4 linked regions of the Rattus norvegicus genome follow. The protein of the gene in region 2 interacts with the protein of the main gene of each other region in a pairwise test. Links are inferred from orthologs where the notes say so. Each region holds a gene or a part of one and is shown on either strand. Other genes may lie near its edges.

Evidence for each region. The genes of interacting proteins can lie anywhere in the genome.
Region 1: the proteins of Ube2l6 (region 2) and Rnf144a interact in a two-hybrid assay, tested with the Homo sapiens proteins (2 studies listed by BioGRID and IntAct). The link is inferred for Rattus norvegicus from reciprocal best matches to the Homo sapiens genes UBE2L6 and RNF144A.
Region 3: the proteins of Ube2l6 (region 2) and Rnf125 interact in a two-hybrid assay, tested with the Homo sapiens proteins (3 studies listed by BioGRID and IntAct). The link is inferred for Rattus norvegicus from reciprocal best matches to the Homo sapiens genes UBE2L6 and RNF125.
Region 4: the proteins of Ube2l6 (region 2) and Arih2 interact in binary tests that used the Homo sapiens proteins (3 or more experiments, as listed by UniProt). The link is inferred for Rattus norvegicus from reciprocal best matches to the Homo sapiens genes UBE2L6 and ARIH2.

Annotation. Positions count from the first base shown.
Region 1 is NC_086024.1:48,645,394-48,653,213, forward strand, and holds part of Rnf144a (E3 ubiquitin-protein ligase RNF144A), read right to left. Parts: intron 4,775-7,820; coding exon 4,567-4,774; intron 923-4,566; coding exon 775-922; intron 1-774. UniProt on the Homo sapiens protein: E3 ubiquitin-protein ligase which accepts ubiquitin from E2 ubiquitin-conjugating enzymes UBE2L3 and UBE2L6 in the form of a thioester and then directly transfers the ubiquitin to targeted substrates.
Region 2 is NC_086021.1:90,276,725-90,285,241, reverse strand, and holds the start of Ube2l6 (ubiquitin/ISG15-conjugating enzyme E2 L6), read right to left. Parts: upstream 5,538-8,517; 5' UTR 5,072-5,537; coding exon 5,045-5,071; intron 3,787-5,044; exon of another isoform or gene 3,707-3,786; intron 1,402-3,706; coding exon 1,306-1,401; intron 1-1,305. UniProt on the Homo sapiens protein: Catalyzes the covalent attachment of ubiquitin or ISG15 to other proteins. Functions in the E6/E6-AP-induced ubiquitination of p53/TP53. Promotes ubiquitination and subsequent proteasomal degradation of FLT3.
Region 3 is NC_086036.1:12,536,459-12,544,278, reverse strand, and holds part of Rnf125 (E3 ubiquitin-protein ligase RNF125), read right to left. Parts: intron 3,205-7,820; coding exon 3,048-3,204; intron 1-3,047. UniProt on the Homo sapiens protein: E3 ubiquitin-protein ligase that mediates ubiquitination and subsequent proteasomal degradation of target proteins, such as RIGI, MAVS/IPS1, IFIH1/MDA5, JAK1 and p53/TP53.
Region 4 is NC_086026.1:118,173,501-118,181,320, forward strand, and holds the end of Arih2 (E3 ubiquitin-protein ligase ARIH2), read right to left. Parts: intron 7,728-7,820; coding exon 7,576-7,727; intron 7,230-7,575; coding exon 7,086-7,229; intron 6,102-7,085; coding exon 6,033-6,101; intron 4,268-6,032; coding exon of another isoform or gene 4,235-4,267; exon of another isoform or gene 4,213-4,234; coding exon 4,129-4,212; intron 3,926-4,128; coding exon 3,854-3,925; 3' UTR 1,767-3,853; downstream 1-1,766.

The DNA.
Region 1 (7,820 bases), on a different chromosome or scaffold from region 2:
GCTCACAGGTAAGCACTAGGAGAAAACCATGAATGTTTGAATGTTAACCTGCAGGGTCGTCTTTGCAAAGACAAGGATGCATATAATCTGCTTTCCACCCAGAGGGCTGGGAGGTGGAGGTGGTCAATGGGCAGGGGATCCCCCAAGCTCCACCCAGAAGCCTGGGAGGTAGAGGTGGTCAATGGGCAGGGGATCTCTCAAGCTCTTACTACTGGGACCAGAGGTGGCTAATAGCCCAGATGACCTCTGTGCTGTCTGTGTCATGGAGACCTCATCAGATCCTCTTAGGCCCTTAAGATAATTCATATACCCTATCTCTCAAAGCCATCTTCGCAGAAGAAGTGACGTGTGTTTTCAGAAGAGTTTCAATGGAATTGTGTCTCCTTGTGTACTCAGGATTGTGTTACACCAGGAAATGGTCTTCCAAATTGTGCTGTACTTAAATATGCCTGAAATGAACTTCCTGGGGTCAGACTCTGGAAGTTTAAACTAGCACCAGCTATGGAGTCATGCTGAACCAGACATCTGTCTTGCCTTACTTGAATCTTTACTCTGATGTTTGCAGAGACTCCAAGACTCTTCAAAATAAAGCTAAGCCCCAAGCCTGCCCCAAACTTCGGTACCCAGATGTCACCTCAGGGAACCAAGATTCACACAAACACAGGAGAATCATGCCCCTAGCGAGGCCTCCAGCTTCCCAGGCAATGACAGTCCCTCTCCCACATATCTGAATCCACAGCTCATGGCTGCCCTGTGAGGCTGCACGGTACTCACGTCCAGAGACTCCAGGCAGTACCAGCAGAAGGCATGCTTGCAGTTCTTACACATCATCTGTGCACAGCCCTCGTCCCGCTCGATGTACACCCTGCACTTGGGGCAGCGTTTGATGGGTGCGTCGCCCTCTTCCACCTTGAAAGCAGAGCTGTGGGAGAGATATACTGTGAGGGTCACGCAGAAGGGAATGAGGACGAGCTCAGCAGCAGGGCTGTTCCAGGAGCACTTCTCTACGACAGGGACCCAGGTCTCTTGCTACTAAAGGAAGTGATGTAGAGCCAAAGAAACAAAAGCCCTGGAAAACAAAAACATAGTCTATCTGCTAGATTAAGGCAAAACGAAACAAAAGAAAAAGCACCACCGGCACATACCTAAATTTAGATTTCTATAAAAACCAAACACCAGAAAACAAAGGCTTCACAAATGTGTACATTTTCCAAAGAGTGAATAATAAATTTTATCCACTTTGGTCTTGTCAGAAAAAAAAAAGTGTCATAAACACACATGTACATGAAGATACACACTTGCTTCAGAAGACCTACCTGGCTTGCCCGACAGCTTCCCTGGCATCTTGGGATGGATGTGCAATGGTTATTAGCTTTAAGTCTGGTGGCGGATGCTGGTTTCTCCACAAACCAGCTATAGGATGCCTCTACAAACGCATGAAAACTATGAAAGTATTCTGCTTGTGCAAAGTACAAAGCAGCCGTGGGGCTCTGAATGACAATGGCCACGATAGGCTCACATATTTGAATGTCTAGTCACCAGGGAGTGCTTAAGAAGACTTAGAAGGGTAAGGGCCTGTGGCCTGTTGGGAGTGGGTGTGGCCCTGTTGCAGGAACTGTGCCACTGGAGGTGGGCTTTGAGGTTTCAAAAGCTCACACCATGCCCGGTGTCTTTCTCTCTCTCTTCTCTTTCTGCTGCCTGCAGATCAGGATGTAAAACTCTCAGCTACTGCTCCAGCGCCAAACCTGTCTATTTTCCACCACAGTGTTCATGGACTAAGCCTCTGAAATGGTAAACCAGGCCCCAGTTGGATGCTTTTATTTATCAGAGTTGCCTCTGCCATGGTGTCTCTTCGCAGCAATGGGAACAGTGACTAAGACAGTAGCCGACTTTTGAAAACAGTGACAATAAGTCAGTACTGTTAATTAACTTTTCAAAAGTAAAACGGGTATCTAGGCATGGCTGAAGAAGGTCGCCCCATAACATTCCTTTAGTTTTCCCTTGAAATAGATAGTCGGGACAACATCTGGGAGAATAAATGGGAAAGGCCAAGAGAAGATGCCACCAAGGCGCATACTGTACCTATGTTAGAACCCATGGCATCCATATAGACCTGCAAAGAGACGGCTCCACTTGGAGCCGATCAGAGTACAACTCGTCCGAGTGCACAGTTGCTAAAGTCAGAGAGCACCTCTATTGGAAGGCATCTTGGCAAAGGGATCGTTTGAGAGGGCCACAGAATAGATGAGACTTAAATGCCTGGTGATCAGCAATGAGAATTTCCTCATGACCATGTGCACTGGTTTCCTAAGTGTAGCAAGGCTTCTGTTCCTGAGGGGGTTCTGTTTTACCCACCAATGGAATGTGACAGGTTTAGAGAGTCTGGGAAACGCTGGGGAGATGCTTCAGTGGGAAAAGTGGGGGCTATGCAAGCACAGGGACTGGAGTTTGGATCCCCAGAACCCAAATAAAAGCTTGGTTGGTGCAGTATCTCTCTCTACTCTTAGTGCTAGAGGCAGGTAAAGCCAGGGTCTCCCTAGGGTAGACCAGATAGTTAGTGTGTCTGATTGATGATCTCTGGGTTCAACTGACAGACCCTCTCTTCAATATATAAAATGGAGAGTAATCCAGGAAACTGTTCAGTGTCAACGTCCTTCTAAATGCTAGGATTCTAAGCATGAGCCACCATGTCTGGTTTCAATCGCGTGGTGGGGATTGAACATGGGGTTTCTTTCATGATAGGCAGGCAGTCTACTGACTGGGCTCATCCCCAGGCCTGAGAAAGTTTTATGATAAGAAAAATGACTGGGCTGGGAACCTCTTCCATTCAACTAGGAAGGGCCCTCCACTCCTGTCCTTCCTGCTAAGAGACAGGACTCACTCACTCACTTACTAAGGATTACTCTGAGAGAAAAATAAAAAACTGGACTGCTTCCCTGGGTAGATGCTTCATCTGCTTCTAGCTCTCCCTTTCCTAGAAATCAACCTCTATCGATCACTTTTAATCAAGCCAAGCAAGTATGTTTCCTCCTAGAGTCTGGAAGTTTCTATAACCCTACGTCTAAATTCAGTGGCCTTTGCTGGTATCCAATGCCTGACGTATGCCAGGTCAAGCGTCAAGCTTGCATAGTCCCTGCCTGACAGTAGAATTGTCAGTCATGGGAACATGTGACCTACGACATGGTAAGTCCTGGATGGCGGTGAATGCATCCAAGTTTCCACAGTAGGAAAACAGAGGATGTAGCCACCAATACTACCCTGGAGATAGAGATGACAGAATGGTTAGGGATCCTGGGCAAAGGGTGTCAAGGCAGCTCTGGTAAGGAACAGAGCAGACATGTAGACCTACGGACAAAGGGAGAGAGGGCAGGGCTGTGCTGGAAGAGCCACAGAGGATCTGAGGTACCTTCCTGAGGACTGGAAAACAGAAGAAATTGGGGACCAGGTGGGGAGGGCCCCGTTTGGGTAGGAAGTGCAGCCATGAGAGTGTGGTCAGCAGGACCATAGCCTCTTTGCCTCACTGAACTACATGATGGTATACATTTTATTGTGGGGAAATACCTCTGATATAACCAGTTTCCTATGGTTCACTCTTTTAAATTCATCTATAAAGTCCATCTGGGCAAACAACTGGGCTATCTGACTAGGAGAAGCAAAAGGGAAGAAACACAGTAGTCCTTTGCTGTATTCTAATAGACTCAGACTTTCAGAAACCACTGAACTGAGAATGGGATCCCCGTTGGAGGAATTAGAAAAAGGGTTGAAGGAGCTAAAGGGGCTTGTGACCCCATAAGAACAACAATACCAACCAACCAGAGCTCCCAGGGATTAAACCACTACCCAAAGACTATACATGGACAGACCCATGACTCCAGCTGCATATGTAGCAGAGGATGGCCTTGTTGGGCACCAGTGGAAGGAGAAGCCCTTGGTCCTGCCAAGGCTGGACGCCCCAGTGCAGGGGAATATCAGGGTGGGGAGGCAGGAATGGGGTTGGTTAGGGAAGGGGGATACCTTTATAGAAGAAGGAGAGGGGGATGGGATGGGGGCTTATGGACAGGAAACCAGGAAAGGGAATAACATTTGAAATGTAAATTTTAAAAAAGAAAAAAAGAAAGATGTGGGGCCCTTGGCTTCAGGTACTTGTGGTCCTACTGGTGACCTTGCTTATCACCAGCACTTACTATGCCTACTGTCCTTACTCCTACACTCCCATTTCAGATAAACTCCAACAGAGGGCAGCTATGGAAAACTTGCAGGTACCAGAGGAATTAATCTGGGTGAGTAGTCCAATGTGCTTCATGCAGGGAGCAGAGGGTGCTTTTTATGTTATACATCTTTATATTCCCAGGGTCTTGTGTTATACCTGCCAAATGTTCTCACAAGTAAACCACAGGTCTGAAAGAGACGGGAGGTGGAGTGTGTTCTGAGTCCAAAGCATTTACAGCCACCTGCTCTCAGGTGAGACCTTCAGGAAGGAAGCCTAACCCTTCTGCTAGCCCCTGCTCCCAGCCCCCAGCCCTCAGCCCCCAGCCTACTCTTTGTACCACAGCTCCTACACAGTACCTGGTCTCCCCGGGAAGGAAGCTGATGGGCATGGTCTCTGGGCAGCCTTGGCCAGGGTGCCAGCGGGCTTTGCAAGCAGAACAGAATTCCATGTCGCAGGCTTTGCACTGCACCAGCTGCGGGGTCTGCAGCCCTATGTCCTGGAGTTGGCACACGGCCTGGCAGGTGGATGCTGGGCACCACGTCCGACAAGGGTCAAAGAGCACCTCTAGCACAATGAGACAGAAGGCATAAATTAGAATCAGGATACCATGGGTACTGGAGAGGGTGAGCATGGAGACCCTCTGGGGCCCTGCCTAAGGCAGTGAGAATGAAGGACATCTAGGTGACCCAGTCAGACACTCCCCAGACAAACTGTTCCTTTACAGCTCCTGTGCCCATCCAATTCCACACAAACCCCTTCCAGCTTTTTACCCTTGTACGTGGTGTGCCCAGGGCTACCTCAGTTGCCATCTTGGCCTCCAGTTCCATTATATTCTGGAGAAGTATTCGCCAAGCCCAGTTCCTCTAAGTGTCAACATTACCAGATCTTTGTCTGCAACCTGCCCACTGGTTCCCCCACCGCGAGCAGGACATATTTCCTGAAGTCAGGTGAGAACTTTTTTCTTGAAACTTAACCCAGTGCCAGGGTCATACGCAGTCATTTGCAAGTATTTATTGAACGGTAAAAAGAAGGAAAGAAAGAGGAAGGAAGGAAGGAAGGAAGGAAGGAAGGAAGGGAGGAAGGGAGGAAGGGAGGAAGGGAGGAAGGGAGGAAGGGAGGAAGGGAGGAAGGGAGGAAGGGAGGAAGGGAGGAAGGGAGGAAGGGAGGAAGGGCGCAAGCCAAGCAGGCAATATTGTACTAGTTCTGTTGCCTTACTACATTTTCACGAAGCATACAAAACCATGGTTTTTGCTATGGCATTTCCAGTTCTAGATGTCTGATTTCAGACCTAGGTGTCTAATTTTGTTCTCAGTCTTCTAATAGGGCGGTTCACGTGCCCAAGTCAGATTCTCTTGCCAAGCCTGAACCCCTAACTACTGGGTAAAACTAGAAGCTTGTCTTCTCTGCAGATTATGCCCAAGTTACTGCAAAGCCTGACTTGATGGGATTGGTCAGGAAACTTAGTTTAAAAACAGGATATGGTGGCATTCCTCTTTCTTCACATCCTGATCCAAAACCTGCATTTATAATTCGTCCTGAGCTGCCCTCCATAGTGAGCCAGCAGGGCATCTCCATTTCCCTCATCTCTAGTGGACTTTGAACTTTCACCAGGTGCAGTAGGAGGCACAAACAGGAGGCTAACAGCAGGGGCCATGGCAGGCCAGCAAATCACAGGATCATCTCCTGCACAAGTTGCCTGCCCTCAGCTTTGCAGTCAGGCTCTCCTCAGAAGCAATCTGGGGAGCACTGACTTTTACTGAGAAAACATGCTTGCCTGCAAACCTCCTGGCCCTAAGCCAGGTAGCCGGATGTGGTTGTAGCTCACCAGATCCAAAGACAGGCACTTCACCTAATGGGACACCCAGCTGACTGGGAGTGCAGAAGGCCATGATGATTAGCACTGACTGTCAACTCCACAGGAGACTTGATCACCTAGGATACAAGCCTCTGGCAATACAATTTCACAGACTGTGGTCCTGGACTGGATAAAAAGGAGCAATCAAGCTAGGAACAGTTACCCAGCACTTTCTGCTTCCCAGCTGAGGATGCAGTGTGACCAGCTACCTTACCTTCCTGCCACCATGCCTTCTACTTGTATAACTTACAGAGTATGTAACTTCCAACTGTGAGCCAAATAAACCCTCCCTTACAAGGTCCAATGCTGCACAGTCCTGACCTCATACACATGTGTGAGCTTTTCTGTGGGTTTCCTGTTGCTCCAACTATAGGGGACAATCTGATCAGTGCTGGAGGAGCAAGCTTGTCAGGTATAAGATCAGTAATGGTTTTACCTACTGGTGTGGAGGCAGGCCAACTTCTATGAAGCGCAAGGTGGGGATTAATTTACATCGTTCTAGACCATGTGATGTTTGGTTTTCTGTGACATCTACTTGGTTTGCTGCTGGGTTAAGAGCCGACGAACCAACCCACAAATGAAGGTTCTGGGGGAAACCTTAATTATAGCAGCTGGGGGTTGGAGATGGGCTGGCCTAACAGCAATAGTTGGCTGACTCTTAATCCAAGGCAACCACTCCTTATTGATTAAGAAGTGTTCACCAAAAGCATAAAAGGATCTTGTTGTTAGGACAGCAAGGTCCTGAGATGCTGTATGTGGCACTCCAGAACTGAGAACTGTATTCCACATTGACTGGACTCCATTGCAATACTGTAAAGCCCCTTGTGGTGCTCCTGAACAGTAGCTTCTGTGCAACGTGGGTGTCAGTGTTTGCTGCCTGAAGAAAGTTCTTGGTCACTGAACATGTAGACGCACATGGAGATAGAACGGGGGGACATGGAGAAGTGCTGCTGGGCAGGCTTGGGGTGCTCCCTGAAACCTCACAGCCCTCAGGTATGTGCTGAGAGAAATCCCCAGGGAGCACCTACAGCCAAGGACTCTAATGATCCTCTCTGCTAGCCACCCTTCCCCTTCCACATCTACCAACTTTCAAATTCACCCCTCTTCGTGCACGTGTTTGGGGAGGGAGCCTGATCCTGGACCAGATATCACACACACTTTATCTGCACAGCTACTGAATGAAGTTCTGGAAAGAGGGAGACATGGGGACTTAACATGCTGGATGTGTGAATGAACACAGGCTTCATGCTTATTATCATGCTGCAGGTGAACCTTGCCAGGAGTAGGGCTTTCTGTCTCAGACCCTTGGAGTCCGTATGTCCTGCTTGCTGACCATCCTCTTTGCTCTGGAAGCCCCAGACATCAGTGTGGGTTGAGGTAGGTTTCTCTTCACATACTTCCTGACCTGTGCTACCACCCTTGACAACAGTTAAGTGAGGCTACCTTGCTCCTTTATCACAGAAGGCCTCATTCTGCTGTGGCATGGAGAGGAGACCTAGGGAAGGTTTCCATGGTAACAACTCCAAGTCTATGACTGTTTTACTCAGGGCAATGGTATGACCCTGCCTACCATCAGGGATAGATTCCCTACGGACAAGGTGAAGTGATCTGTCTCTAGGCGGAAGGTACCCATCCTCCTTGGGCTGAGGCCCACCCATCACACCTGGTTATGCAACAGCTCCAATCCCTAACAGGGATCTATTAATATGCCCGTTGTCCTTCTCACTGCTCAACTCTCCCGGCTGTGCATACAAG
Region 2 (8,517 bases):
CAATCATAGAGATCCTCCGATTTCATAGTATCTCCCACACATGACCTTTCCTAGTTCTTCCTTATGACAGCCCTCTTCCTTCTGACCTGCTCTTCCTCCTCCATAACTGTCATCATCCCAACACTGGGAGACACAACCTGGACCCACTCAGCCTTCCTCAAGGAGAAAGGCCTACTCAAGCCTTTCTCTAGTTTTCTAGATTACAGGTTAGTGGACAGAGAAGGTGAGACCACCGCATGGTAGGCACAGACTCTAAACAATCAGACCAGGGGCTGGGGATTTAGCTCAGTGGTAGAGCGCTTGCCTATCGAGCGCAAGGCCCTGGATTCGGTCCTCAGCTAAAAAAAAAAAAAAAAAAAAAAAAAAAAAAAAAAAAAAAAAAATCAGACCACCAGCTTCTCTTCCAAGAGCTTTAATTAAGAAAGGGATGCATGGCTGTTTTACCTTTCCTCTAGCCAGGCAGTGCAGTGCACGCCTTTAATCCTAGCCTTCTCCAAAGGCAGAAGCAGGCCAGCCTGATACACAGAGCAAGTACCAGGACAGCCAGGGCTACACAGACACCAGACCACAAACAAACAACCTCTTTATTTAGGTATTGTTTATCTAGGCAAATTATGATCCTGCATCAAAAAACAAACAAACACCCAAGGTAGTCTCATTTTGTCAAAAACTATATTAATGAAACATGGTGGCAGATGATTTTAATTCAGGACTTGGGAGTCAGTACTCTACAGTTTAAAGCAGCCTGGTCTACATAGTAAGCTCCAGACCAGGCAGAGCTACCTAGAGAGATCCTATCTCAAAATGTGTGTGTGTGTGTGTGTATGTGTGTGTGTGTGTGTGTGTGTGTGTGTGTGTGTGTGTGTGTGTGTGTTTTACACTACCTTGTTTTGGGACACAGGGCCTCTCACTGACCTGAAAATCACCAAGTGAGCTAGGTTGCCCAGCCAGTGATCTCCACAGACGTGTCTCTAGCTTCTTAGCTCTGGGATGACCGGCTCCTACGACTTCTGCCATGGGTGCTGAGGGTTGAACTCAGGCCCTCATGTTCACCACCTGGCCTCCTCTGGTTTTGACTCTTCGTCTGCTGACTCTTCTATGGGACACTCAGTAGCTACAGGTCTGAAGGAGGGTGTCCTCTTACATCTAAAGTCTCTGTTGTGTTCATTGGTCTGACTGGACTTAGAAGCAATTGGTCTAGAGACAGATCTTTCCACACACCACAACCTCCAGGAAGAGATCCTAGGCCTGACCCTCCCTGCCCATGCTGACCTAAGTCTCCAAAGGGTCCCCACAGACACTCACTGGCAGCAGGAGCATGTGCCACACCAGCACATTGGCATCATCGCTAGACAGGTGGCGCAGGTATGGCGGAAGCTCCTTCGAAAGATCGTCCAGCTCCTGTAGGGATCACATCAAGGGTAGTAAGCCAAGTGCTCACAAATTCAGCCCCACAGCAGCAGCCCCACAGAAAGCCCAAACAGGATATCCTAAGAGCAGAAAGAGAAAGGTCAGAGCCCCAACTTAGGGAACACTGAGCTGGTGTGAGACCCAATGCTGAGTGGTTAATGAATTACCTGGCTTCAGCCTCACCACAACGCTGTAGGCTCCAGTGTAAGGATTAGGTGATCTCAAATATTCTCTCAAATAGTAAGAACTCCTAGGAGCCTTCTTTCTGAGGGCAAGGTACTCTGTCCTCTTGCCCTTTTTCTCACAGAGTCCTATTTTATCCCTCTCTCTTCAGTAATATCTGAGTTTCCAGTACAATATGCACTGGCAGAATGAATGGCAAGGCCATCACGCATCCATTCCCCGCCACCACATCATACCACCTTAAGGGTAAAGGACTGATCCAGGCTGCCCAGGCGAGAAACGCTGCACATCACACACGGTAGACAGGGGACAATGAGCGACTCGCCTTCTCAGAAATGTGGCTTAATCACCTGGGCATCCCTGATTTCTCCCAAGAGCAGTTTATTGAACATCCTCTGCTGACCCTTGACTAAGACAGGATGCAGCCCCCAAGAACATCTTTGGAGTAACAGCGGAAACAAATTTGAGGCCATGAATGGTGTGAATGGGCACACAACCAGGAAGGAGGGGAGCGGGGACACTTCACAGAGGCTGCGGCCGTGAGATAGGCCTTGAAGAGTAGGTAGGAGATCACCAAGCGAAAAAACATAGAGACAAGGCAGAGGGCCCAGACAGGACAAGCATGTGCAGGTCCCCCTTGGAATACTAATAGTTACTACAGGAAAAGGCCTTTATGGCTAAGTACATTTGGGAAAGATGAGTTATAAAGCTTCTTCACTGCAGAACAACCCAAAGGTTTTGCAGTAGTGAGGATGGGACTAAGGACCTTGAGCCTGCTAGGTGGTACCTTGCCACTGAACCACACCCCCAGCACATCCAAAGTCCCCAGGATACCATGGTGCATGCATTTGACCAAAGGACCACACCCAAGGACTCCAGGTCTTCACATTTTGAGAAGGGGGAGGTGGTTCGAAAAGCATTCACGGGCTGGGGATTTAGCTCAGTGGTAGAGCGCTTACCTAGGAAGCGCAAGGCCCTGGGTTCGGTCCCCAGCTCCGAGACGGCTCAGTGGTTAAGAGCACTGACTGCTCTTCCAGAGGTCCTGAGTTCAAATCCCAGCAACCACATGGTGGCTCACAACCATCTGTAATGAGATCTGATGCCCTTCTCTGGTGTGTCTGCAGACGGCTACAGTGTACTCATATATAATAAATAAATAAAATCTTTAAAAAAAAAAAAGAAAAGAAAAGCATTCACACATTCAAGGCAGCTCTGGGAAACATGAATAGATACAAACTAGTGGTTCTCATCCAGGGGTGTATTTACCCACCAGGGTGCCTTTGCTAATATCTAGAAGCATTTCCTACTGTCACAAATGGGGTGAGTGCTGCCACAATTCAGCATGTAAAGTCCAGAGGTACTGATGAAACATCCTACAAAGAATGATCTGGCCCCAAATGTCAACAGAGATAAAGTCGAGGAAGGCTTGTGTACACACAGGCAGGGAGAAAGTTCCCCTAAGCCAGGGGCTTGGGGGTGGCATCCTTCACAGCTGCACAGCATCTGTACCCGTCTCCCAAGCATAAAAACTCCCCACACTCCCTTTTATCTCTAAGCCTTCTACTTGCAGCCAGGACCATTCATTTGCCTATTCTAGCTTACCACAAGCATAACTTGTGCCTTAGCTTGGGCAAGAGCAAAGGCCTCGGTATAACCCAGATCTTGAATGGACATTTTCTGGGATGAAGATGCAGCTCAGTTGGGAGAGCGTTTGTCTAGCATGCACAAGGCCCTGGGTTCAATCCCCAGCATTGCATGAAACTTGATAAAGTGGTGCACATCTATGATCCCAGGTCTTAGGGGATGTGATGGAGACAGAATTAAGAAATTAAAGGTTGAGCTGGTGAGGTGGCCCAGCAGTTAGGTGCACTTGTTGGTCTTCCAGAGGATCAGACAAGCTGGGTTCCATTCCTGGCACTCACATGGTGACTGACTACCGTCTCTAGCTCCAGTGACTTCTGCTAGGCCTGCAGGTAGCTAACAGGTATACACACAGGCATCCATACACAAAAAAATTAAATTAAATAATTTAAATTGTCAGCTACATATCAAGTTTAAGGCCAACCTGAACAACACAAATTTAAAAATATAGAAGGGAAATTTTCTCTCTTACCACTGGGAGTACTTAGATTTTTAATGCGTTTTGATGACTTCTGGCTGAATTTCCTATGACTGCTGAAACCCAAGCTAGGACACACAGCTCCTCCCAAAGCCTGTTAGTAAGTCACCTGACTTAGGAGAATCGAAAGTGAAAACAGACGGGCCATTAAAGGCTCTGTGAGTTTGCAGTCTTATCAGCCTGAGCTCAAATTCCAGCCCCATTACCTCTGCAGAATATCACTGGTCAGCCATGTTACTTTCCCCGACGTCTCAGTTTCCTCCTCCGTGAAATGGGAAGACACAGCTATCCCACAGTTGTTGTAAGAGTTAGATAAAGCAAACTGCTTGGTGCTGAAGATTCCGGAGCAACAAAAGTCAGTCTACCTCTTAGCGTTGAGGTAGCAATTAACCTCTGTCCCATTTTGTACCAGCCTAAAACCAACAAAGTTTAGTTCTGGTTTGGGTCTGCTCTGGACTTCTCCACCTTAAAAGAATTTTCTTTTTGGAAGATGAGGACAGCAATCATCCCTCCTGTCTCCTGAGGAGGCCTTGCTCTCAATTCTGCAGACTAGAGGGGTGTTTTGGGGAGACTCAAAGCCTGGAGGTACCAGCACCAGTTCACCAGTGTTTCTTCTCCGTGATCTCCAATCCTGGTTCCAGTCAGACCTCTAGACTACCCTCTTTCCATTCTTTTACATAGTACCAAATAGTGTCCCACATAGAAATGAACATTCAAATGGAACAAGATTTTTGTTCCTTTTTTGCCCCTGCTGCCTGGCACAAAGTAGGCGTTTAGCATCTGTAGCAGGACTGCATACTAATAACCTACTCAGGGCATAAATTGTTACTTCTCATTCCAGGGACTATTCTGTACACTTTTATTCCAGGATCTGCCCATTCACCACAGCCCAACAGCATCTCTGGCTTCTGAGGCCTTGGGTAAGGTGGGTATCAAATTATGAGTGTATCCACTAGACGGCGCAACAGAGCCCTTCCGGTGCCTGAGATAAGCTCCACTAATAAATTTTCAGCAGAATTGAAACTGAAACCAGTTTAGAAATCTAGTTCATTCTCGCGCCAATTACAACTCCGGAAGCTGATGACAACTTTGTTTCCAGTCTGTCTCAATCAGTCCCTCTCCCTCCCTCCCTCCCCCCTTCTCTTCTCCCTCCCCCCTCCTCCCTCACCCCTCCCCCCACCCCTCCCTTCTCCCACTCCTTCAATGGGAGAAGGTGAGGATGCCTGGGTTTCAGCTAGCCCTGGTAACCAAATAAAAGTGTTCAGAGAGCAGGAGGAGAAAGTGGGGTGGGGGGGGTAAGCACAAGGAAAGAATCATCTTGTACAGGCTTACTTTAGCCACTCGCTTGCTGGCCGTCATCTCAGGTTGGAGCGTGGGGCAGCAGCAGATTCTTGCCGGACGATCCTGAGCCCCGCCCACGCTCTGCTCCACCTACACGGGCTCCAGCTGTAAAGACCTGCTTCCCACTTCTTCGAGGGATACGTGGAGGCTGCGGAGTGCCCAGCTTGGCGGTCTTAAATCCAAGAAACTCAAGCTCTTTGCAGATCAGAGACTACGTCTGTGGTTCCTGCATCTCGTAGAGTACATCAGGCAGGAGCTGGGATGGGGTTCATCCCTAGCCTCTGTCAGCTCCCCCGACGCCGCTGCAAAGTAACTCTGCTGCAGGCTCTCTCAGTGAGATTGTGGACCTAACCCCCACCTCTAGAGAAATTCTCAGAGTCCTGGGCCAAATCACTTTGCCTTTGTGGGTCTAGTACCCCATCCTAAAAGAGATTGGGGATCAGTGTAGACTTTATGCCCTCCAAGGACCGCTCCCTTAACTGTGTGGGATCCTGAGTGGTACAGTCCAGCAGATAGGCAGAGACGCAGCGTTGCTGGATGTTGCTTTTAGGTTGCTTGGTGCCGAGCACCACTAGAGGACGCTGGTGGATCCAATCTCTTCTAGTTAGGGGCGTTCTGTCGACCTTAACTCTTTTACTCGGAAGAACACATAGAAGGTGTCTGCTCTGTGGCGATTTGGGAAAATGATGGGTAGCTGAAGCCTCGAGATAGATTTCAGGAGCCTATATATTCTATCACCAGCCGATTACAATCTATGTACCTACTGTGTGTCTTCACAAACAGCCAAGGAGTCTCTAGCCCAAGTCGAGACCATGGTGGAATTAGCAGAACACAGCATCTGGGAGAAATTCTGAAGCTAGAGAGGAATCCACCTACCTGCCTCACCCATTCCAGCCCAGAAATTAGCATATTTTGAAGCCTAAGATTTTGACCCAGTATGCCACAGGATTTTTTTTTTTCTATCCAGGAACCAAATATCTGATCTGCTTAGATACGGGATGTGTTTGAAAAACGATTCTGTTTTTTCAATTCAATAACTTTAATCAGATACCTTCTAATGCCAGCAATAATAAACAGGACGCCATCAGCAACCCCTAAATATAGATAGGGGAGCAGGGCATTGAACCCATTTCTGGTTAGTAGTAGTCTTAGTTAACACCAAGTGCCAGGCACTGTCTATGGAACACACCAGACAGAGAAACTGTGGTATCTGTCCTCACAGGAGCTCTCGGGCAGTTGAAAAACAGAGAATTTAGCCTCTGGATTTTTGTACTTGTAGTTCTTTGAGTATGTAGTCCTGACTGGCCTGGAACTTGTTGGAGAACCAGGCTGGCCCAGGACTCAGAGATCTGCCTGCCTCTGCCTCCCAAGTGGTAGGATTAAAGGCAAGCACCACCACGCCGGCAATTTAGCCTCTGAATTTTTAATGATAATCACATAACGAATCACTGGGTCTGGGTGAGGGGGGATCACTTGATCTCCTCGTGGAGGCGGGGCAAAGGCTTCCTGGGATGATTGAATCAAAGGGAGGGCGCCTGAAGAGTTAGCTCCGCCTCCAAGGGCGTGGGAGGAAGTTGTTGAGAATAAGAGGGAAGGAACAGGGCTGGAGAGATGGCTCAGGGGTTAAGAGCACTGACTGCTCTTCCTGAGATTCTGAGTTCAATTCCCAGCAACCACATGGTGGCTCACAACCATCTGTAATGGGATCCGATGCCCTCTTCTGGTGTGTCTGAAGGCAGCTACAGTGTACTCATATATATTAAATAAATAAATCTTAAAAACAAAAAAAAAAAAAAAGAGGGAAGGAACAGCATTGGCAAAGTGACAGGGTGTCAGGAGCCGGAACGGATTGAGAGCGTGCAGCACAGAGAGTATGCTGTTTCTACTCCTTACTTTTGCAGCCCTTCATCACTGTGAATGCAAGCATTCTAGGAAGGGTCCGGAGCCAGCTTGTAAGAGCGTACACACACAGAGGCACCAATAAATAAGTAAATAGTTTATTGTAACTGGAACATAATAATTGTACATGCGGATGGGTACCGTGGGGTAATTCAACCTATGTATGTATATAATGATCAAATTAGTATTTGCATGGCAAACATTTCTGTGTGTTTGGGACCTACAGACTCTTCTGGTTCTTTATGAAGCACTGCTATTGAAATTTGCCCAAGTATGAGAAGTGATTCCGCAATTAATAACACTTGTTACTCTCACAGCATCTTCAGTCCAGTTTATATTTATATATATATATATATATATATAATATTTATTTTATGTATGTTGCTGTCTTCAGACACTCCAGAAGAGGGCAGCAGATCCCGTTACAGATGGTTGTGAGCCACCAAGTGATTGCTGGGAATTGAACTCAGGACCTCTGGAAGTGTAATCAGGGCTCTTAACCGATGAGCCATTTCCCCAGCCCCCTTGAGTCCAGTTTCTTGTACCTACATGGCAGCTCACAAACTATCCGTAACTCCAGGAGATCAGACATCCTCTGCTAACCTCCCTGGGCACCAGGCATATGTATGGTGCACAAATATGCAGGCCAAAGAATCATATACATAAAATACTCTTTTTTAACATTAGGAAAAGAAGGGCTAGAGATGACTCAGAGGTGACACTTCCAGAGGTCCAGAGTTCAAATCCCAGCAACCACATGGTGGCTCACAACCATCTATAATGAGATCTGATGCCCTCTTCTGGTGTGTCTGAAGACAGCTACAGTGTGCTTATATATAATAAATAAATGAATGAATAATTTTTTTTAATTAGGAAAAGAAAAAAAACGAACTCAGGGCTGGAGAGATGGCCCCACAGGTAAAGATTGTGGCTCCCCAGGACCCACATGGTGGGAAGAGAAAAGGAGAGAACTGAGTCCCTTGGGTTGTTTTCTGACATCCACATGAACACCATGCCATACACACACACACACACACACACACACACACACACACACACACACACACAGAGAGAGAGAGAGAGAGAGAGAGAGAGAGAGAGAGAGAGAGACACTACACACACCAAGTAAAAATATAATAAAAAATGAACCCTAGAATTTATTTCTTTTACCTAAGCACATTTGGTATCTATTATCCAGCTTCCTGTATAATTCCTCTCTACTTCTCTTCCTCACTCCCCAGTAATATTTATTCTATTCTCTGCTTCCGTGAGAACTTTCTCAAACTTCCACACAGGGAAAGAGCCAGCTGTGGTGGCACACACCTGGCACCTGGTGGGTGGAGACAGGACAATCAGTTCAATGTCCGTATTGGGTCCTTGAAGAGTTGGCAGCCAGCCTGGGTTAGAGGAGACCCCGTCTCAGACAGACAAACAGAACAGAAACCCCATATGTGACTTACAATATGTAGTATTTGTCCTTCAGTGTCTGACTTATTTCATTTACGACACCCACCAGCCATGCCCTAAAATTAAAGGTGGAAAATTTTAACAACCATCCAGTCAAA
Region 3 (7,820 bases), on a different chromosome or scaffold from region 2:
GAGGGTGGGGAGGGGAACACCCATATAGAAGGGGAAGGGAAGGAGTTAGGGGGATGTTGGCATGGAAACCGGAAAAGGGAATAACAATTGAAATGTAAATAAGAAATACTCAATTTAATAAAGATGGAAAAAAAAGTTGTGCTTATAATCTCCTAACACTTCAGAAACGAAATATTGAGCTTCTAAATTGTTCCTTCTAAAAAGCATACTTTTTTTTTTAAAAAAAGAAAAAGCCAAAAGATGTTTAGTAACAAAGGATGTTTTGCATATTGCTATGCAAATAGGTTTTGTGGGAAAAAGACAAAAACTAGGTGAAAAGAAAGAGTAAGAATAAGGAAAGAAGAAAAACATTCCACAAGATGAAAAGAAATGGAGATGAGAATTGAATGTATTTTGCAAGTGTCCATCATAAACTAAAGGCTCACACATTAAGTGAAGTAGTAAATGCCATCGATGAGTGACATGAATAGTGTTGTATGAGTTCACGATGCACACCACATTTAATAGAGCCATCAAGGCTAACATAAGCCACTGCTCTTGTAATTCATCTTCTTCAGTGCAGGATGAGGAGCCGCGCCCACACTTGGAGGGCTCTGTTGATAGTGTAGTATACAGGCCGCTCAGAAATGCCGGTTAAGATCTGCTGGAGAGGGCTGGAGAGGTGGCTCAGTGGTTAAGAGCACTGACTGCTTTTCCAGAGGTCCTGAGTTCAATTCCCAGCAACCACAGGGTGGCTCACAACCATCTGTAATGGGATCTGACGCCCTCTTCTGGTGCGTCTGAAGACAGTGACAGTGTACTCACATATTTAAAAAAAAAAAAATCTGCTGGAGACAATGTCTCGCAGTGGCCAGTAGGTGGCAGCCTACGGCCAGCCCAGGCTGCCCAAACTTCTGTTCCAAGTTCAACTTCAAAAACTCTACCACGTGATGGAAATAGCCACACACATTTTGGTGTACACCTTTAACCCCCGCACTTGAAAGGCAGAGGCAAGCAATCTATACCAACTTGACCTACATAGTGAGTTCCAGGCCACATAGGCCTACTCTGGTGCACACATAATCCTCAGTACCTAGGATGCTGCAGCAGGGGGATCACAAGTTCCAGGCTAGACTAGGCTAAGACCCTGGGTTTTCTTTTTTAAGTGTACTCTTTGTTCAAGAAAAATGAGCTTTCCTTAGAAGGATCACCAATCTGGGGACTGTACATGGAGAGACTGACAGATTTACAATGTATACATACATACATTATGTAAGGTACTGTTGCAGAGATGATAGACAATGAAGTGCTTGCCTGTTCTAATGCTGCGGATAATTCCACAGAGGAACAGAGACGTGAGGGCAGGTAGCTAAGAAGTTCCTCTGAGAGGAACTCAGGATACTAAGGCCAGGCTGCAAGGAGGCTGCAAGGAGAGGAGAGCTGCTGCCCTGGACAGTGAAATATGACAAGCTTCAACTCGTTGCAGGAACAGGCAGCCTTCCAGGACAGAAGGGTAGCCTAGAAAGCAAGACACTGTCACAGCGTTCCTCAAACATTAATTACAATCCTGTGACAGATCAGATATGAGAAGAGAGTCTGACGGGGGACTTCATCCAGGGTCTGAGAGAACGCCGTTTTGGATAGACAACTACGGTAAGGTTGTCCATGTGTGGCCCCCTTCACACACAATAAATAATTAAAAGTAAATAAATAACTTGTGCCAAATCAGAAACAGGAAGAGAGAGAATTAGTGTTGGATATCAGGATGCTTGTCCCCAAAGATTATGTACAGATTCTGGTCAGGTGCCCATGATAGATTATTCCTACATGTATAAATATTTGTAAACGCACAAAGGCCTTAGTAGATAAGAGTTGGGTACAAAGTTACAGAAGATGCTCTATGCTCCTTGTGTGTCTTTGCCTCAAAGGCCATGGCGGTGGCTGACATAGGGAGAGAGGGAGGGGGTCCATTCAGCTCACTGGGAAAGACTGAAAGGAGCCTAACAGGAGAAAAGGACCCGGGCAAGAGGAGGTCCAGGTAACCAAATCTAATCAGTCACTTGGTGTGGCTGGGGGGAGGAGAGGGCTGAGAGCCATAATCTTCTTCCTGCTACCTCAGTCAGAAATAACTCCTTAAGGGCCAGGGGAAGGGGGACAATATCCAGTTGGTTTCCAGGCTCTGAGGCAAGGGGAGAGAGTAGGCACACTCTTTGACTGCTGGGGACTGACTTTTTGTTTGGGGTATTTGTTGTTCTGTGACAGTGTATTGTTACATAGCCCTGGCTGGTCTGGAACTTGCCATGTATCCTGGGCTAGCCTTGAACATGCAACAGATCCTCCAGCATGCTGAGATTAAAGGCAAGAGCTACTTACCACACACAGGTTTTTTTTTTTTAAAGATTTATTTATTCATTTATTATATATGAGTACACTGTAGCTGTCTTCAGATACACCAGAAGAGGGCATCGGATCTCTTTACAGAGATGGTTGTGAGCCACCATGTGGTTGCTGGGAATTGAACTCAGGACCTCTGGAAGAGCAGTCGGGTGCTCTTAACCACTGAGCCATCTCTCCAGCCCCCACACACAGGTTTTTGTACGTTTTCCTTTTTTAAAAAAATTCCACATTAAAAATGCTATTTTCCCAGCTCTGGATGGTGATAGGAAAATAAATGAATGAAGTAAGAGTTTGAAGTCTCAAAAAGGATGTTTAAAAAGCTGGTGGAGCTACAGAATAGGTTCATATCTAGCACAGAGAACTTAATGACTCTGTCTCAAAATCAAAAGAAAAATGAGGGCTGGGGCTCTGGTTCGGTGGTATAGCACCTAGCATGTAGGAAGCCCTGGGTTCAACCTCCAGTGCTGTATACACACAAATACTAAAGGCGCCGTCGTGGTGGGGCCTGCATGCAACCCCGACACTTCCAAGTCTGGATCTGGAGATAGCAAGTTTAAGTCCTCCCTGGGCTACAGAATGAGACCCTGTCCCCAAAGCTGGGGAGCTGGAGAGCTGGAGAAGGTGTAATTTCACTGGAAACCTTTGCTTGTAATCGTGGTTGTGTTACTCACCAGAGTTCCACACTCAGTACAGTTCTGGTATTCTGACTTCATCCTCTTGGCTATGTCAGTTGCGGGCACTCCCTCTGAAGGAAGGTACGCGCGGCAGTATGGGCATGTCCACTTATTATTGTTCTTTATACTGGTTGCAATGCAAGAGCGGCAGAACCTACTCAAAAGAAACAGAATACATCAGAGATACGGCTCAGCACCTGAGTTCATGCTGTTCTTCTAGAGGACAAGAATACCTCTATTCATACGGGCACATACACACATACATACATACACACATACACATAATTTAAAAATTAAAAAAAAATCATGGTAGTCCACCATTTTAATTCTAACACTCAAAAGCAAAGGCAGGTAGATCTGTGAGTTCAAAGCCAGCCTGGTTTATAACAGGTTCCAGCATAGCCAGGGCTGCACCACACAAGTCTTCTCAGAAAAGAAGGCCGAGGTATCTGGGCTTGGTTACAGCCCATCCAACCACTCCCAGGTAAAAAGACAGACTCTAAGTTCTACCTGTGGCCCTGTGTGGAGACCCAAAACGTTAATCAATCCAGTTGGGCCTGTCAATCACCTCAGACAGTCTGATTTCCTCAAGCCAGATAAAAAGATGGGTGGGATAATTGTCCCATCACTGTGGTGATAGACTTTTAATGTAGCTTCCCTCTCAGAAACCCCACCTGGGAGTAGCTGCTTAGGAAGTCGGCATTTCTCTGAATTACCCAGAAAAAATGTAATGTCTTCTCTTTCAAGCTCTCACTGATGTTCTGGGCCCTCTCTGTCTCTGCTTCTGCTGCGTGGCTGCTTGCCGAACATAGACCCTAACTCAAAAGGCGTGACTTTCTCCCCATGTCTAAATTCTTTTATGAGTGAGACTAAGAACCTGAAGGGGTTGTGTGTGTAGAGAGATGGCTCAGTGGTTAATAGCACTGGCCGTTCTTGCAGAAGACCCAGTTTCAATTCCCAGCACCTACATGGTAGTTCATAGCCACCACTAACTCCATTTCCTAGGATCTGATGTTTTAGGATCTCCACAGGGACTGGGCAAGCAGGTGGCAAACAGAGCTCATACAATAAAAATAAGTATATCTATCTAGTTGGGCAGTGGTGGCCTTTAATCCGAGCACTCAGGAGGGAGAGGCAGGTAGATGTCTGTGAGCTCGAGACCAGCCTGGTCTACAAAGTGAGTTCCAGGACAGCCAGGGCTACAAAGAGAAACCCTGGAGAGAGAGAGAGAGAGAGAGAGAGAGAGAGAGAGAGAGAGAGAGAGAGAGAGAGAGAGAAAGAATGAGAATGAATCTGAAAAGGGAGACTCAGTTTTCCCACTAACATCTTTACCCCCTGGGATCTACTGGGGATTACAGTAGTAAGCCTGGCTGAAGGTGTATTCTTGTTTTCTTTGTTTGCTTTTTAGAAAGGGTCTCATTGTGTACTCTTGGTTTGCCTGAAACATATAACATCGATGAGGACGGCTTCAAACTCACAGATATCTACCTGATTCTGCCTCCTAAGTGCTAGAATTAAACGGATGGGCCACCAAGTTGTGGTAGTTGGAATGTGCTTGGTCCATGGGAAGTGGCACTATTAGGAGGTGTGGCCTTATCAAAGGAAGTGCATTACTGTGGGGTGGGTTTTGAAGCTTCACTCATGCAGGAGGGTCAGTCTTCTCCTGTTGCCTTTGGAACAAGATGTAGAACTCTCAGCTCCTCCAGCCCCATGCCTGCCTGGATGCTGCCATGTTCCCACCGGGATGATAATGGACTGAACCTCAGAACCAGTAAGCCAGCCCCAATTAAATGTTATTCTTTTTAAGAGTTGCCTTGGTCATGGTGTTTCTTTACAGAAATAGAAACCCTAAGACACACGTAAAACCTTGAAAGTATATCCTTTTTAAGAGTATTTTTACGAATGGTTCAAACATTCAACTAAAAGAAAAAAAAAATAACATTCCAAATACAATTATCAATGGCTACAACCTGAATTCTCTGCTTACACGACTTATGTCCTGGTAGATGACAGCTCACTCTATGGGAAGCTGGATATGAGACTGCAGAAGTACGAAGTCTAGTAAGACCTGAGGTTTTATGCTGGGCATGGTGGCACGACTCTAATCTTTACTTGGGAGGTGAAGGCAGGGAAATCAAGGTCACTCTGAGGTAAATAGCTAGATTCAGTCTAGTTTAGCCTCAAAAAGCAAACAAATAAATAAACAAAAGCCAATGGGGCATAGGAAGCAGAGGAGTGAGATAAAAACAGGGGGAGATTCTTTGTCAAATTAGAGGGGGAAAATTAAATCAGCACGGCAATATACCACTCTAATCCTAGTACTTGGGATTTCAGCCAACCTGGGCTACATATGAAAGTTTTAGGATAGCCTGAGCTACAATACAACCCCTTTCCTAACAGGAAAAAACAGTGGTAAGCATACAAGGGAACCTGGAGAAGAACTGGGAACACTCCTAATAGTAACAAAAACTACAACAGCTAGGAACTGCACTTAGCTGACATTCAGAAACGCCAGGAATCTCAGGGCATAATCTCAGCTGTGCTGAGAGAGAACGTAGACAGAGGACCAGCCTTAACTCAAGATCACACGAGTTCAGGGCCAGCCTGGGTACTGATCCAGAGCACCATGAAAAAAGACATTATTTTCAGTTGAACATGTGAACCACTTGCAATATGTGCTCTTCGAGAATATATACACTCTCAGCCCTTGAGACCTCTCTCAAATCATAAACCAGGCCCAAGGCTAAGAGTCCTAGCTAGGCATTCAGAATTAAGCAGGAGGTTTAACATTCCGAAGGTCACTGGAGGCCCTGCAGAGCCATCTCATATACTTTCAAGTTTATAATACATCTATTCAAGAGGGGTGGTGCCTTAAGCTGGGGGTGAGAGCACAAACCTGTAACCCTGACCCTTAGGAAGAGGATCAGAAGTCCGAAATGAGCCTCAACAAGTTCAAGACCAGCTAGAGGCGTATGAGATCCTGTCTCTAAAGTAGGTTAGGAGCATACTTCAGTTGTCCTGCCACACAAGCAGCCTTGGGTCTCATCCCCACCTCTGTGTAAACTAGACAAGGTGGCACATACCAGTCTCATATAATCTCAGAAGTCCAGAGACTGAAGGAGAAGGAGTTCAGGGTCATGTTAGTGAGTTACTGGCTGCCTGATCCCAAAGTTGATTCCAGAAAGCAGGTGGGGCTGATGGGGCTAGCCATCGGACAGACATTGACTACAAAGGACAGGAGGTGATTTGCCAGTGTACCGGAACTAACGATCTCGATCCGGACTGTGGTGTTGTTACAGTGTGAACAATGGCGGCAATTGATCAACCCACTCTGTACTACGTGAGTCAGAGTGTATCACCTCACTAACCCTGAGAAGCAAAACAAAAATAATTCTGTGATGGCAGGGAAATCCCAGTAACACTGTGACGAAGATCATGGGGCCACTTAGAACACAAGGTCCCTCCTCCACAACTCAAGCACAATAGGAGCTGCTCAGAACATGGTCAGAAAGTTGACAAAACAGCCAGTTTAGGAGAAATTGCCCAATAGAGACTTTTCTGGGAATTGCTGGAGTTCCCATGAGTAAATCACACTGTGGTGTCCTGGCTGTGGTGTCTTGAGGCTCGGCTGGTTTGTACGGAGTATTTGTATGCACTAAGTGTTTGAATGCTCATGGACAGTAATACACACAAAGCCTGGGTGCTGAGGTACATGCCTATAATCCCAGCATTTGAAAGGTGAAGGCTGGAGGGGCCATAGTTCAAGATCAACCCCAATGGTGTAAAAGGTTGACCAGCCTAAACTCTATTAGATCCTTTCTCAAAAGGTGTGATGTCTTTCTGCCACAAAGACAGAAAGTGGAGGGGAATTGGGGAATGGACACTAGGGAAAGGAGTTATTCAATTGTCTACCCTGACCCCACCCGGGGGGCTGTGAAGAGGGGAATCACAAAAAGAGGGATCAACACAAGAGAATATAGTTAAGACTAAAAGCTGATCATGGATGTAATGGGATACCATCTTGAAGAAGATCTCACTCCACCCCAGAGTGGTGGCATACTCCTTTAATCCCAGTACTCAGAGGCAGAGGCTGGGGGATCTCTGTGAACTGAGGACCAGGCTGGTCTGCCGGCCAGTCAAGACTACAGAGTGAGATCCTGTGTCAAATAGCAACAGTCTGGCTTCTTGTTTTCAAACCTCTGAATGCAGTCAGGGAAATACCAAGTGGTAAGAAGCCACCATGGGTTGTCCTCTGACCCCCACAGGAACGCTACAGCACACACACCCTTCCACATACACTGCACATAAAACAAATAAATGTAATTTTTAAATTAAAAAAAAAAAACCGCCACTACCATCAACAAAAAAAGCTTCTGAATACATTACCAGGGCTTTGGAATCAGATTTCACATAAACCCAACCTCCTGGCTTTGCTGGTCTGACTTTTCTTACTAGCCTGGTACCACTCCAGTGCCATCTCCCAGGATGCTTGGGGTAAAGTCCCTCTCTCTGGGGAGTGCGGTCCTTCCCTCCAGCACTGACCCCATCCCTCTTGTAGCACAGCAGGAGAAAATCAATAAGGAAATCCAGAATGACTCAACCAACTCGGAAACCAGCTGGAAACTTAATTACATCACTCCTATTTGTTATTTTATGAACCCCCATTTATTTCCCTAAAGTAATTAGCCAAAATCCCCTGTAACGAAGAGGCCGGCAGAGTGCTGGAAGGAAACAGGAAAACACAGTCAAGGACACTGGACAGACTTATGT
Region 4 (7,820 bases), on a different chromosome or scaffold from region 2:
CTTGAATTCCTGATCTCGGACTCAGCCTCTGGGATTACAGATGTGTATGTGCTACCACACCTGGCACTTTACCAGATACTGTGACTTCTGGATATTACTATGTAGTATATCCGGGGAATCTTATAGAAAAAACAAACAAAAACGTAGAAAACTCTAGGTAGCATATGCAGGCCAGGAAAAGTGCAAGATCTCCCGGAACTGGACTTGCAGACAATTGTGGGCCATCATGTGCCTGCTGGAAATGGAACCCAGGTCTCATTAAGACCAGCAAGTGCTGTAATCTGCTGAGGCATCTCTCCAGGCCCTACGAAGACATTCTGTTTTTTTACATTTAAGTGCACGTATATGCGTTTGTGCTATGGAAGACTGGGTTCAGAGGACAACCTGCAGGAGTTCCTTTTCTCCTCCTGCCATGAGGATCCTGAGGTTCTTCCTCAGCTGTCAAAAACCTTTACCCACTGAACCAGCTTGCCAGGGACATCATGTGTAAAGATCACCAAAAGTAGTGTGAACACCATGTTACCCTATGCCCACTGATTTTCAAGGATGCCCTATCTTAACTGGTTCAAATTTATTAGTGGGGCTGGAGAGATGGCTCAGCAGTTAAGGGTATTTGTGGCTCTTGCCCGCACCCCTCCTTTTAGACAGCAGGCATATCTATAATAAAACGTCACAGTACACATGCATAGAAAACACCCACACACAGAAAACAGGAAATCCCTAGTGACCCATTCTGTCATAAAGCTGAAGGCACTTCTGGGGGTAGTGTCCTCTCACACCTCGCTGTGTGCCCACAAGAGCACACTCAAGGCCAAGACCAGCCATGTGGGGTTGGGCCCCCCACAGTGCTAGTTTACCTCTCGTGACGGGTTTGTATATGCTTGGCCCAGGGAGTGACACTATTAGGAAGTGTGGCCTTGTTGGGGTAGGTGTGTCATTGTGGGTGTAGGCTTTTTCTACCTGAAGTATTTTCCTAGCAGACTCCAGATGAAGATATAGAACTCTCAGCTTCTCCTGTACCATGTCTATGTGGAGGCTGCCAGGCTCCCTCCTTAAAGATCCTGGACTGAACCTCTGAACCTGTAAGCCAGCCCCAATAAATGTTGTCTTTCTAGGACTTGCCTTGGTCATGGTGTCTGTTCACAGCAGTAAAACCCTAAGACAACTCTCATTAATGCTGCTTGTAAGCCGGACAACACTTCCAAACCCATTTCCAGTTTTGTCCCCTTTTGTTTAAACAGACAAATTCTTTTTTTTTTTTCTTTTTCTCGGAGCTGGGGACTGAACCCAGGGCCTTGCGCTTGCTAGGCAAGAGCTCTACCACTGAGCCAAATCCCCAGCCCAACAGACAAATCCCTACTGCCCACTTAGGAATATTCCAATCTCTTAGTTGGGTGTAGTAGAACACGCCTGTAACCCCAGTGCCCGTGAGGCAGAGCCAAGAAGTTCTCTCACGAGCCATATGTCCTGTGTACTGTGTTTCTACATCTGCTTCTGGAGGGACCCGAGGTCTTTAATGGCGGGACTTGGGTCATTCTTCAATCCCAGGATGCTTGTAGGGAGTGGCTCGGGCTCAGTTTTTTGCCAAGGAGAGAACTAACATTTCCAAGTTACTTCTTCCCGCTCTGCAGGGAGCACCTCGAGCTGCTTTCAATCCGAGAAGAAACTTCAAGAAAAGCAGTGCTCAGTCTGGCTGGGCCCTCAGAGCCCCTGAAGGAGTGGGAAGAACAAAAGGCAGTTGCTTTGAGAAGACAGACTCCACACAGTTTTATAATCAGAAAGTGAATTTATTTTGAATAAACCACTCAACTTTGTGAGATGACATTACCTCAACTTTTCTTTGAAGAAAGACAAGGATCTGGTCAGTTCATGAAAACACTGTCTTTCTCTACCCTTTGCAGGGCAAAAACACCAAACTAAACCAAACCAAACCCTCGCCTCCTGCCTGACCTCTCAGATGTTCTGATGTTAACGAAGGACAAGCACCGAGGGTGCAGAACAAAGGTCTCCACAGGTGAGGTGCCAGCTACAGGTTGGCAGAGCCTCCTGCAGGGCCAAAGGTCAGGGTCACAGCTGAGCAGTGGGAGGACGGCAGCTGTGCAGTTCAGAAAGTACCCAAGGGGAAGTTAGGCTGCAGAGCTGAAACTCTGGTCCTATGTCATGGCAGTGCCACCAAAAGGACTGGATGGAAAGGTCTGGTTACCAGCATCACACACCACCCTGGGCCTGCAGCAGGTACACTCCTGGCTCACAATCAGCTCCCATTGGTATTCTGGGTTCATTCACCATACCCCAAACTACTACTCCTAATCCACCTCACAATCTCACTTGTCAGGGACGACATGAAGAGACAAGGTGAAAGAGGATGTACAGCTGGTCATGTACCCCAAGAGTCACAGCTGTCACCTGTCAAGAATAACTCAATTTTACAGCTTTACATGGTACCTAGGAAATTGTTGACTGGAGGTGAAAATGTATGAATATCAAAGAATCTGCATCATAGTATTCACAGATTTCTCATAGGCTCTCCTAGGAGTTCAAGGAGGTCCTGTCAAGTATAGACAGCTCTGCCAGTCTCAGAGGGGAGGCACTGAGCAAAGCCATGGAAACCCCAGAGATCACAGATCTAACTTTTCAAAGGCCCACAGGACCAGGTTCAAGATAGGAAGGACACGGCACTCAACTGTGCAGAACTGGTCCTTTCTTCTGGCCAGCCCCTTCTCGTACAGGAACTGAGACCACAAAGCAGGGATTCTCCTGGCCTTAGACTCCCAGACCACAGAGACGGGGACTTCTGGCAGCTGCACTAGGCAAAGGGGACCACACCCCACCACGGAGCAGCTTCTGGCCACACTCTAGGTGAACATAAAAATAACTTGTGCAAACCTCTTGAGTCACAAGGCCCATGCCCTTGGTCTAAGAGCCATGCATGCTGAACTCTGACCTTGTGAACTCTGTTCATAAGAACACAACAAGACAGTGACTCTCGTCAGAGTCCACCACCTGAATACTGGATCAAAAGGAACGACCAAGGAAAAGGAAACACATCGGGGGACGATTCCTTACAAAGGTGGATTCCTTATCTTTATGAAACAAAAGGAAGCACCATGCTGAACCAGTCTCCCAGTTCAGGGGTGCGTTAGCCCGCCCACCTCTGCTGTGGGTGCTGGCCTGGGTGGCCTGACTCAGGTAAACCTCACATTCAAGAATAAAGCCAGCCTGCAGTGAGACCGTGCTCTGCTCTGTGCCCTGGCTGTCCAGAAGGAGTGTGACTCTGTACCCGTGCCTATTGTACAGGCCAACTCAGATCCCTATCTGCCACCCACATTCTCCCCTAGAGCTCCAGCTCCAGGGGAAAGCAGAGGCCACGCCAGGGCTCCGGCAGTGTAGACGCTGAGACTGGGTGGGCGGGCAGTATCAAGTTACATTCTAAGTCATGTAGCTAAAGGGTGAAGCACTCCAAAGCCAATTTATTTTAGACGGGCTCCGTGTTACCTATGGTTTGCCTCTTTTCTTTATAATCGTACAACCTTTGAAAATTACATAAGTTGTAATGATCTAATACTATTAATAGCCATTCAGAAAAAAAGTTCCCTCCCGCCCAACAACCATCCAGGGGAAATTTAAAGTCCTCACTAGAGGCCAGCTCAACATGGCCTCTACCCTGGTAGAAACAAAAAGCAAAAAGATGAGAAGAAAACAAATGGACTAAGAGGTGTGTTGCCAGTGTCTTTCAGGAGTGGGGCCCTGGCTGTTGCCTGGGTCGTGAAAGGCAGAGCCTGCAGCATGCAGTTCGGTAGCCGGGTGGCCTCACAGCTACATCTTCCTCACCCCGGCACATCCACAGCCCGGTTTAGGTGTCGTGAAAATCCTTTAGCAGGGTTCTTCTCCGCTGCTCTGCTATGTGCATCTGGTTTTCCAAGTCCTGTCCAATCGACACAACAGGTTTTATAAGTTCCAATGCCAGGAGCGGAGAGCACGCAAAGCCACAGGCGGTGTATTGGACGCTCCAAGGAGTCTAAAGCTGACCTGCCCACCCTCTAAGGCAGCACCTTTAAATCCCAGCCCAGTACAATCACTGTTAAATGACACCCTTCCCTTACCTGAAGGAAGGCGGCAGGCACTTACCCCTCTGTCATAGCTGTCTGCACGCTCAACTTTCCATGAAAGGTTTTCGATCTCAGCCTCCAGCTGAGCCTGCTGGTATTCAAACTGTATGGGCAGAGCAGGAGGGTCAAAAGGAGAGAGGGCTGTAGCCGGGCAGGGCCTGCAGATGGAGGGTACATGCAGCACCTCAGGCTCCAATTAGCAACTGACAAGCCTGACACTGTCCTCAGCATGCTTGTTACTCTTTATGCCCAGAGCTGGAAAAAACATCCAAAGAGCTTCCAGAAGAGAGAGCAAATGGCAAAGTAACATTTGCCGTCCACCACCAAAGGAAGGTGAGAAGCTTAAAGCCATGGGAAAAGATGGTCCCAAAACACCGGGACAGACATTACAAAGGTTAGGTTAAAATGGATATTGTCAAGACACTGTATTTACCCCACATTCTACTCCCCCCAGTCATGTAGTCATCTGGCCAGCAAAGCCTTACGATGGGGGTGCCAATGCATCTCAGCTGGTGAAATACCTGCCCGAGATGTAAGGAGCCTGGGGCTCAGTTCCCATGAACTGGGCGTGGCACACGCTATGGCGCGGGAATCCCAACGCTAAGGAGTATCAGAAGGTCAAGGTCCCCTCCTGGGTTATCAGCAAGTTTGAGGCCAGTCTGGGCTATTTGAAATCCTACCTCCAAAAATTACCAACCAACCAAGCAAAAAAGACCAAACCAAACAGAACAGGACACCCTTTGATTCTTTTTTTTTTTTTTTTTTTTTTTTTTCGGAGCTGGGGACCGAACCCAGGGCCTTGCGCTTCCTAAGCAATCGCTCTACCACTGAGCTAAATCCCCAACCCCAGGACACCCTTTGAAAGACCAAACAATGTGGCCTGTGTGGTGTGGGCCTGTGATCCCAGCACGAGAGGCAGAGACAGAGAGTTTAAATTCGAGGATCTGGGGGCTGGAGAGATGGCTCAGTGGTTAAGAGCACTGACTGCTCTTCCAGAGGTCCTGAGTTCAATTCCCAGCAACCACATGGTGGCTCACAACCATCTGTAATGGGATCTGATGCCCTCCTTCTGGTGTGTCTGAACAGCTACAGTGTACTTATATATAAATTCGAGGATGCCTGGGCTAAGGTTTTTTTTTTTTTTTTGTACTTAGAAGAAAAAAATCAAATAGTAACCATACACTTGAGGAATAAAATGTTACACAAAAAGACTTTCCTCAGTCTTATTTGTGAGAGGAAAATGGAAACAATTGTCCTGTCAAATGATGACACATTAAGGTAAAACATTGTAGCATTTTTGTAAAGAAGAATTCAATCTGGTAAAAGGTGAGAGGCTTGACAACCATACATTTGTGCCTTGGTTTTTGAGAAGGATTTGCTATAGTCTAGGCTGGACAGACAACTCAATCCTGGATCACTGGAGTTATGAAGTTTGTGCCTCTGTGTTTTTCTGGTGCTGAGACTCACATATGCTCTACACAAAGCTTTACTTCGATAACATTAGTTTTAAAGGCTAGAACATGAACAACATAAATGCTATGTTTCCCAACATTTAAGGAATATATAAAAATTACTTTTATCAGCAGGAGGAACAACCATATCTAAGAACAACTAAAGGAAATAGACAACTATAACATAAGGATGTGTATGATACGGCCACTGGCTATCCAAGTGATCATAGGCTTTTTGAGTCCATTGATCTTTAAATATCAAGGTTTAAGGGATCAGGTGCATCTGGCTATTATAGCATCTGAGGTTTATTTCAGAGATGCCCAGAGCCAGAAATATCTTTTTGCAGTAAGACAGTTTTCATTGTGTTCTCCCAATGATATCAGGTCAGAACCATGTCCATCTGCAAAGTGCCTGTAAGAATGGGGCCCCTCTAAAGTTGCAGGGAACAGCAGAAAGGCAGTGATGGCTTACCAGCTTCTTCCTGGGGCCGGATTCCATGTAGTATGCATATGGATAGGTATATTGCAGGGTGTATCGACACTGGAATAAGAAAGAAAAAAGTCTTATCTTTGATTCTACTTGACCCACACATTGGGTAGCTCTTACAATTCATACCCAACCATGCAAATGATGACTCTAGACATGTGGATCTAAAAGCAACAAGGCCAGACTATGGAGATGGTGGACTACAGGAAGACAGGGAAACAGGAAACAAGACTGGCCACAGAACCACCACCCTTCATACTGACTCATAACCACCAGCTGCTCAGAACTTTTCTGTTTTTTAGTGGTCAGTAAAATCTACATCTCAATACTTATCAATTATAGACTTTCTTTTCAGTTATCCATAAATGGAACAAAGAAGAAAAAAGGCTTTAGTTTTCTCTGTTGGCAGAGACAGTTAAACAAACTGCTCAGAAGTCCTTTGGACATTGTGCTGGCTGGTTTTATGTGTGTCACCTTGACACAAGCTGGAGTTATCACAGAGAAAGGAGTCTCCCTTGAGGAAACGCCTCCATGAGACCCAGCTATATAAGGCATTCTCTCAACTACTCATCAAGGGGGGAGGACCCAGCCCATTGTGGGTGGTGCCATCCCTGGGCTGGTAGTTTTGGGTTCTATAAGAAAGCAAGCTGAGCAAGCCAGGGGAAGCAAGCCAGTAAGTAACATCCCTCCATGGCCTCTGCATCAGCTCCTGCTTCCTGACCTGCTTGAGTTCTGGTCCTGACTTCCTTTGGTGATGAACAGCAATGTAGAAGTGTACACTGAATAAACCCTTTCCTCTCCAACTTGTTACTTGGTCATGATGTTTGTGCAGGAATAGAAACCCTGACTAAGACAGACATCTAGCAAAGGGCTAAGACTTCTGGTATATTCAGCACAGGGAAATGTGGTCCTGTAGACACGCATGCAAAGCTAGTCAGGGCACCAAACTCCCCCTTCCCCCTTCTTTCAGAGATAGCCTCCCACCCTAATGTTTGCAGCCAACAGGGACTAATGGTAGAAAAGTGAGCTGGTGGATACCTTGGCCAACAGCTTGGCGGCATTCTGCAGGTACTGCCAGTCAATCCACGTTCCCAGATTGTTCATAACCCTCTCTTGAATCTTCTCGTGAATCCGCTGGTATGTTTGTGCCTCCAGCTGCAAGCTTTTGTTGTGATTTTCCCACTACAAAGCAGAGGAAGAAGGAAAAGGGTAGAGTTCCAGGAAGGTACAGAGGTCAGCAGATAAGTTTAAAACAAACACTGGCTAGTAGGCCATGTCCTCGGATTGCTCTGTCTTCTTATGGAGCACACGGGTCCTGGACATCACTCAACTAAGGGGGTACCAGGTCCTTCCCCAGCATCCTGCACAACTGAAAACCCACATCTGTAGAAGGCAATACCAAGCACGTGCAGAAGCTCCAGTCACTAACTTCCACATATGCACACAGCATCCCAGTGCTCTCACGTCGTCAACAGGCCAAGTGGAGAAAGCCAACTCTGAAAGGGCTGATGTAAGACAAGACACCTACCCTCTCAAAGTAGAACAAGTACTTCTTGAGGGCCTCCCTGGCCTGTGCTTGCTGGCTCTGGTTGACAATGTCAGGATTCTCCTTGTACCGACTACATTCATAGTACTCACTACCATGCGTCTTCCAGTCTCCTAGACACATCCAGCAGAAGTCTGCACAGAAAGGAGGGTGAAGTCATTTACCTGTACAAGACAACCACACACTCCTCCAAGGCACAGGCAGGAAAGTAGGGTGAAGAGGTAACC